Bombyx mori: one gene and its partner. The protein of the gene in region 2 interacts with the protein of the main gene of each other region in a pairwise test. Links are inferred from orthologs where the notes say so. Each region holds a gene or a part of one and is shown on either strand. Other genes may lie near its edges.

The links.
Region 1: the proteins of Per (region 2) and cry1 interact in a two-hybrid assay, tested with the Drosophila melanogaster proteins (5 studies listed by BioGRID). The link is inferred for Bombyx mori from reciprocal best matches to the Drosophila melanogaster genes per and cry.

Annotation. Positions count from the first base shown.
Region 1 is NC_085123.1:13,776,125-13,779,624, reverse strand, and holds part of cry1 (cryptochrome 1), read right to left. Parts: intron 1,516-3,500; 5' UTR 1,481-1,515; coding exon 1,351-1,480; intron 585-1,350; coding exon 438-584; intron 1-437. UniProt on the Drosophila melanogaster protein: Blue light-dependent regulator that is the input of the circadian feedback loop. Has no photolyase activity for cyclobutane pyrimidine dimers or 6-4 photoproducts.
Region 2 is NC_085107.1:12,565,271-12,569,499, forward strand, and holds the start of Per (period), read right to left. Parts: upstream 2,801-4,229; 5' UTR 2,611-2,800; intron 1-2,610. UniProt on the Drosophila melanogaster protein: Essential for biological clock functions. Determines the period length of circadian and ultradian rhythms; an increase in PER dosage leads to shortened circadian rhythms and a decrease leads to lengthened circadian rhythms.

The DNA.
Region 1 (3,500 bases), on a different chromosome or scaffold from region 2:
CCACTGAGTTTCTCGCCGGATCTCAATGGGTCGCGATTCCGATACGGTGGTAGATTCTGCGAAGCACTGCTCTTGCTAGGGTTAGTGTTAGCAAGTTCTCTCAGGTTGAGCCCGTAAGCTCAGTTACACGTCTGGGCATAGCTGGAATAGCATTTTGATTGTGGAAACATATTTGGTTATTGTTTTAGCTAAATTTTTTTTAAATATTGTATGTTTTGTATTGTACTGTTTGTTTCCCAAATAAATAAATAAATAAATAAATAGCCTCTTAAGCTACCAGCGAATAGGTAGGAAAAGAAAAAAGGAACACCAAATATTACTGATTTCTTCTACCTATGTTGGTAGTCTCGATGGGTCATACCAGCTTTGCCAAGTAGACAAGCTCACGGCGCTCAGCTTGCCTAAATATGTGACTGAGTTTTCGGTATGCCACTTACCAAATTCTTCCCAGAGTCTGCGGAACACAGCACTGGGTTTCCCTTTAACAAGGAGTAATCTTCCGCCGTACTTCTTGAATTGCTTGTCCAAATCATCTAACGCTTCTAGCAAGTACCGCATTCGGTTGTACCCGACCACTTTCGTTCCTATTGAATGTAAAATATAGTCAGTAATTTCTCAAATACTGGCTGTTAGAAGACCGCTTCCTAAAACGAAACGCCGCGCCCCCGCCGTGCCGCACCTGTGTGCGTGTAAAAGAAACGCCGCGCCCGGGCGTTCGTTGATCCGAGCATCAGCTGGTTTTAATTTTGTGTTTCATTGCTGGCTTTTCTTTGAGTAAAGTAATGTATATTTTATGAAACTATAGTTTCATTTAGCTATACTAAAATGATGGAGGGTAAATAATGCTATTAAAACATTTTTAAAAAATGTTTTTTTTTAATCAGGACCGATTTTTTTCCGTCCCATCCATCAAAGGTGTCATTAGGACTATCGTCTATCTTCGTTTTCGGAAGCGGTCTCATAACACCCAGTATATATTCCATTCATCCGGATATTAGAATGCATGTAAAACCGGGCGGGTAGTGGTGTTTCCATATAATTAAGCCCGATATGATATTTTATACGTTATCAATTAAGAGTACAAGACTAGTAAAATACAAAGCGCCGACTGGTGGTAGGACCTCGTGTAAGTCCACACAGGTAGGTACCACCACCCCGCCTATTTTCTGTCGTGAAAGGTACAATGCGTTTCGGTTTGAAGGGTGGGGCAGCCGTTGTAACTATACCTTAGAACCTTATATCTTAAGGTGGGTGGCGCATTTACGTTGTAGATGTCTATCGGCTCCAGTAACAATTTAACATCAGATGAGCTCGTCGACCCGTCTAAGCAATAAAAAAATAGAAACTCACCAGCAGTTTCCCCGTCAAAAATGAAAATGGGAAAGAAAGGGCCGCTCGTTTCTTCCAACGCCGAATGAAGAGACGGATTGTCGTGGAGACGCAGCCCGTGACGGAACCACAGAACGCTACCGCCAAGCATCTTTAGTATCCCCTTACAATTATTCGTTTAGAAATCTGCAAAGAAGATATCACCCATACAAATTTACAAATTCTCCGAGATTCTCCTCTCAGGTCTTATAATTAACAAGTGATTTATGCGTATTTGCCGCTAGTGATGTTAACAATGAAAATATATCGCTGAGTGATTATTGAGCACTTATCAATGTGTGATTGCGTGCTTATGCAAAAAACCCGGTCATCGTTTTCATCGAACCCGTCGCTTGCGTCGGAGGGCTCGGCGAATAAATTAACCCAGACACAGCCCACTGAGTTCCTCGCCGGATCTTCTCAGTGGTTCGCGTTTCCGATCCGGTGGTAGATTCTGCGAAGCACGACTCTTGCTAGGGTTCGTGTTAGCAACGTCATCAGGTTTGAGCCCCGTGAGCTCACCTAGTAATTCGGCGAATCTAGAATAATCCCTTGAGGTTACTAGAATAGATAGGAAAAAAAAATGCAAAATTTTTACATGAATTGAAATCATTCTAGTTCATTCTTAACGTGGACTGCTGTTTTTATGTATCAGCACAGTCATAATACAAATTCGATCAAAAACAAAATCAATTTCGTTAAGTATATACATCGAATATTTCGGAGGACAAATAATATTTTTTAAAACTTATCCGACTGCGAGTAACAAGACAGAAAATTTCCAATTGAAATTCGATCGTTTTATTAAGAAGCCGTTCGTATTGAGGTCGTTTCGTTTGTGACGTAGCTATAATTATGTACATACCAATAGCTTACACTTACAGGAATTATAATAACGGTGTTGTAAATCTATAATATCGATCTGTTTATTTACGCAATAACGAAGCAGTTACTGAGTACTGAGTAAATCGGCATGACTTTTTGGTACTTTTTGTCACGAAAAAAACAACACTTTTTTAAATCGATAAAGTTGGGCTGATTTCGATGGAATTTTCATCACATCTTGAGATTGGCTAGCAGGCCAGGAGATCCTGTTATTTTTTATAGCGATCGGATCGAAGTCAAATAAAAATCGGCAAATCTGACCGGGCTTGGCTAATACTCTATAGAGACGCTAAAAATCATCAAATCAAATCATAGAATTCGCCATGGTAATTTGCTTAACACTATAATGTACTTATTTTATCTTAAAGACGCCTAGATTTACGAGGACAAAGCCGCGCTTAATTAAAGATCGAGAAAATATGATAACCGGCCTATATAGTTTACTCGAAGAAGCCTTTTAAAACGAACGTGCAAATTGTGAAGAAACAAAACCAATAGTTGCGGTCTGTCATTAAACGTATCGAGCCACACGTGATTCTATAAAATTACCGCATTACATACCTTGTTGATGTTAGATAAGAAATGTTTTATAAACACTTGGCTCACTTACAAAACAATATTATAACTAACAGTCACGATCTTGTGAAAAATGTTATATTAAACATTTTCAATTAACTGATAAGTCGGATTACTAGGCTGCACTAAAAGTATCGGGAATGGAATATTTCCACTGTTCCTGTCATATTAAAATCTTTTTAATTGAAAACTCCTTGGTTTTAAAAATCGAATACCATTTATTTATTTAAAAAAAAGATTCTCGGTCTTGTCACGAGGTTTTGTCAAACTTGTTTAGTCGTTGAGAAAATGGAATTGACTCGAGAAAATTCAAGAGCGATGATTTATTATGACTTTCGAAGTGGTTTAACACAAAAACAGTGTGTTGACCGGATGATTTCTGCATTTGGTGATGAAGCCCCATCCAAAACCACAATTTATCGCTGGTTTGCTGAGTTTCAACGTGGACGTGTCAAGCTCAGTGATGATCCCCGTCAAGGTCGTCCAAAAACTGCAGTCACCCAAGAAAACGTTGATGCTGTGCGTAAGCTGATTGAGGAAGATCGACATGTGACATACCGCGAAATTCAGGCAACTTTAGACATTGGCATGAGTCAAATACAAATAATCTTACATGAACAATTAGGTGTAAAAAAAATGTTTTCCCGATGGATAACGCATTCGCTCTGTGA
Region 2 (4,229 bases):
GCACAAAAAGATTTCCAGCTATTGAATCTTTTTTGTTTTAATAATTTACGAGTTTTAGTTATAAGATTACTAAGAATATTAAAATTTTGTGTTGTAGAATTTTCTCTGTAATTTTCTTCAGCTATCTTTCTCTCAGCTATCGCAGCAGAACACTCACTGTCCCACCAAGGAGGTGATGGAATATACCCATTTCCACTATTGTTTTTTATAGGAAAAACTTCCTCAGCAGCTTGTAGTAGGGCCCGTGTAAAAGCTTCAGCACAAAGATGATTACTGCTGTCATTTAGTGGAGGTATGGTTGATAAATTTTGTTGAACTTTATCTCCAAATAATGACCAGTTGGCATCCTTAAGTCTATATTTTAGCCGGGGAGGGGCCTTTGATGTCTTTTCACAAATTTTTTGAGGAAATGATACCATTAGTGGAAAGTGATCGCTTCCATATGAAGACGATAGAGGCCACCAGTTTAATGTAGGAGCAAGTGAGGGACTACAAAGGGTAAGATCTGGTGCACTAATACCCTCATGGGGCTGTGTTCTTCTAGTAGGACAACCAGAGTTTAAAAGACATAAATTATTATCATCTAAGATGTCTAAGATTCTAGCCCCATAATGATCAGACTTAGAACTTCCCCACATAGAATGTTGTGCATTGAAATCTCCCATAACCAAAATAGGGCGCGGGAGGGAAGATAGGATGCTACGAATATCGTCAAAGACTTCATTGGAAGGGTGAGGTATATACATATTTACAAAACAGATATTATTTACACTAGCAGCAATAATAGAAAATTTATCACTGTGATTAGGGATGGGTAAGTGGACAAAGGGCACACCTCCCCTAAGAATTAGTGCCACTCCACCATACCCATCTGTTCTGTCTTCTCTAAGACAGACATGTCCTGGAATTCTAAAATTGAATCCAGGACGAAGCCAAGTCTCTTGAAGAGAGACTGCAAATGGTTTGTAACTATTCAATAAAAAAATTAAGTCACTTTTTTTACTATTAATACTCCGGCAATTCCATTGAATCACCAGAGACTGGTTTCGTGGATGGTCCTGACTGTCCATTAGTTAAAAAAGTTTTTGAAGAAACGGCATCGTTGGACGGTATTTTAATTATGTTCGATTGTGAAAGGTACTGAATTATAGAAATGATGAGATCCTTTGTTATTATTTCTGACAAATCATTGTAATTTTTGAGACAACCTGTAGAAAAGGAAGGAATGTTGCTGTAATCTTGGATAAGCTCTGCATGCGCTTTTTGATCATATCCCTTACTAGAATTTCTGGGACGAGCTTTGGGTTTCAAGAATACTGTTTTCTTATATGATTGAGTCGGACTCTTAAAAGGGCTTGTTAAATTATAGGGGCTTGAATAAGTCATAGTTGGACCCGAAGGGGCTGATGAAGCAGAAGCAACAATGTCAGCATAAGATTTTGAAACTGGTGGATAGACTTTACTTGCTTCTGAATAGGATATAGAGTTTCTAGCCATTGTTTCTTTTATAGCTTTCTGCCTAGCATACTCCGGGCATTTTTTGTCTGTTGCGAAATGGGAACCAGAACATAAAATACACACAGCATCATCTCTTTCCGTCTCGCAACTTATACCTGAATGATTGTCACCACATTTGTAACACCTTGGAGTGCCTCTGCATTGCATTTTGGTGTGACCAAAACGGCAGCAATTAAAGCATTGCAGCGTGGGGTAAATATAAAGCTCTACAGGTAGGGAGTTAAAACACATAAAGACCCTGGGAGGTAACACCTTCCCATCAAAGGTCAAAACTACGGTCTCAGTTGGAACAAACTTGGGTGTCTCGCCGTCATAAACCTTTCTGTTTAGTCTCCTAACTTTCAGAATGCTTCCACAGTTCTGCGGAAGCTCTATATTTTCTATAACATCTTTCTCGTCCCAGTCACATGGAACACCTCTCACTATTCCCATGCGGGTGATAGTGAAGGCCGGAATAAAAGCTTTATATTTATTATCATCAAGAGATTTGTGATTTAGAAATGAGTTAGCCTCCTGAAATGTTTTAAATTGAAATGACAACCTATTCCTTCCAATTTTTTTTATGCTTCCCTCTACAATGCTTTTTATTGAATTTTTTTTTAGAAAGAATCCAAATTGTACTGGATGTATAGATCCAGTTTGATTAGGTTGTAAAATTTTTTGAATATGTACATCATAAGGCGCAGGGTCTGACGCCTGGTAAAGCAGCCTAGCAGTGCGAGGGTTACTCGTAATGTTTTTAGAGTTAGCAACCTCATTATGATGGATTTCAGTGATTTTATCATCTGACTCAAGTACTTTAGGTATAACATTATCCTTTATATCATTAGGGGAAAGTTGGCAATCTGGTAGATCTGTATGTTTGTGATTCCTTCTCTTTTTTTGGTTTCTAGTTGATATTCTCTTTCTTTTAACGGATTTAATGTTTTCCGAACAGTCTGTATCTATAATGGAACCTTCCGTTTCCATTCCCGAAGCATCTATTGTAACTACATGAGACACCTGGAGGGATGTCCCTCCAGGGTCTTCGGGCTCCAACATGGAGGCCAAGAAAAAAATACTATTTACATATAATACAATAAGATGACTTACCAGGCGAAGAAAACAAACTAAAACTATAAATAATCAATACTACTAATATATATACACTTTACAACTTAACTGATCCTGTAATATTAAATTAATTTAATTTTCAAAAGTTTAGCCAAAAAAAAGACGCCCGCTTAATTCAACACTTCCCGCGCTTTTTCCGTCTTGAGGTTTAAACGCTCTAAACACGAATGTCACAATACAATTAGCGTACTAGAGTCGACTGTTGCAAGGTAAGTATCGATATACAAAGATTGTTGGAACTCGAGAATCGAAATAAATCGATTAATTCTGCAACAGCAATAAGTTTCCAAAACAATTTTATTATACCTATGTACATGTAAGGAAAATGTATTTTACACGGCGGTCCAATGATATCTTCAAAAGGATACTACATTTACAGAATACAGATACAGGATTCAGGATACAAAAGTTGAAGTAATCCGATTATCATACATTTCAACAAATTTTGTTGCTAAGTATTTCAATTTGAAAGTAGCATAGATGAACAAAACTTGTTCAGGCTAATAGAGTACACATTAGAAAGAATTCATTCGCTGACCTGGAGGCATGTGGTCAAAATCTCAATGAATTTCTACGACTACTATATTCTTCAAATCGCAACCTTTGCTTTTAATACCACCATACCACACGACCAGTAATTACTTCATATTTTGAAATCTGTTACGGATGATCAATATTATATGTTATAAGAAGAAAAAATAGCACTTTTCATCGTCGATAGCATAATCGTAGGACAACAATAGGGTTGTTTTGTCTATTAGTATTTTTTAAACATTAAATACATATGTAAAGAAAGATAGAAATCTCAGGTTAATCACAAAATGTTAAGAAAAACTTGTTAAACTTATTTTTGAATCATTAAGAGTATTCAACTGAAATATTCATACATGGATTTTAGTACTAACCTTTTTAGTTTTCTACAAACCGTACATTTGGCCTAATAAACTAATTACTAAAAAAAATATACAATTCTATACTTCAAATTAAAAACATTTGCAAAAATCGATTCGGAAACGATTGTTTGGAGCATGAATTGGTCGCAGATCTACTATTCACGCTCAAAAACACGTGAGCCGGGTAAGTAGGACGGGAATTCTCTTTCTACGATTTATTTGCTCGCACGCACGTGGCAGCTGAGAGAGAGGGTGCGATATAGTTAGACTCTGTCGCGTGGCTTAGAAAAACGTCTCATGTGAAATTTTATTTCCGTGAAACGAATGAACAAACGTTAAAAAGAAAAGAGTTGCTGAATTCCAGGCACATCATAGTTTTAGCTTTTTGGGCGTTTCAATAGTAGACATTAAATTGGTACATAACTATAATATTTTTATTTAAAATTATATTGATCCATATTTTTTTATTGATTTAATTTACGTTTATTCCGTTGACACCAACACCACGTTCTTATGATTCAATCAAAAATTCAGTATTAATGAAGACTGGAAGAACATTCGTGACTATTAATGAACGTCATACCAACTGGTCACGTGTTGGGACCGAGTTAGTTACATTACGTAAATTATAATTGTTTCGCTCTATCCGATGACTTGCAAGCGAAGTAAATTGTCCTTCGAAATAAGGCAATACTCTACAAAACT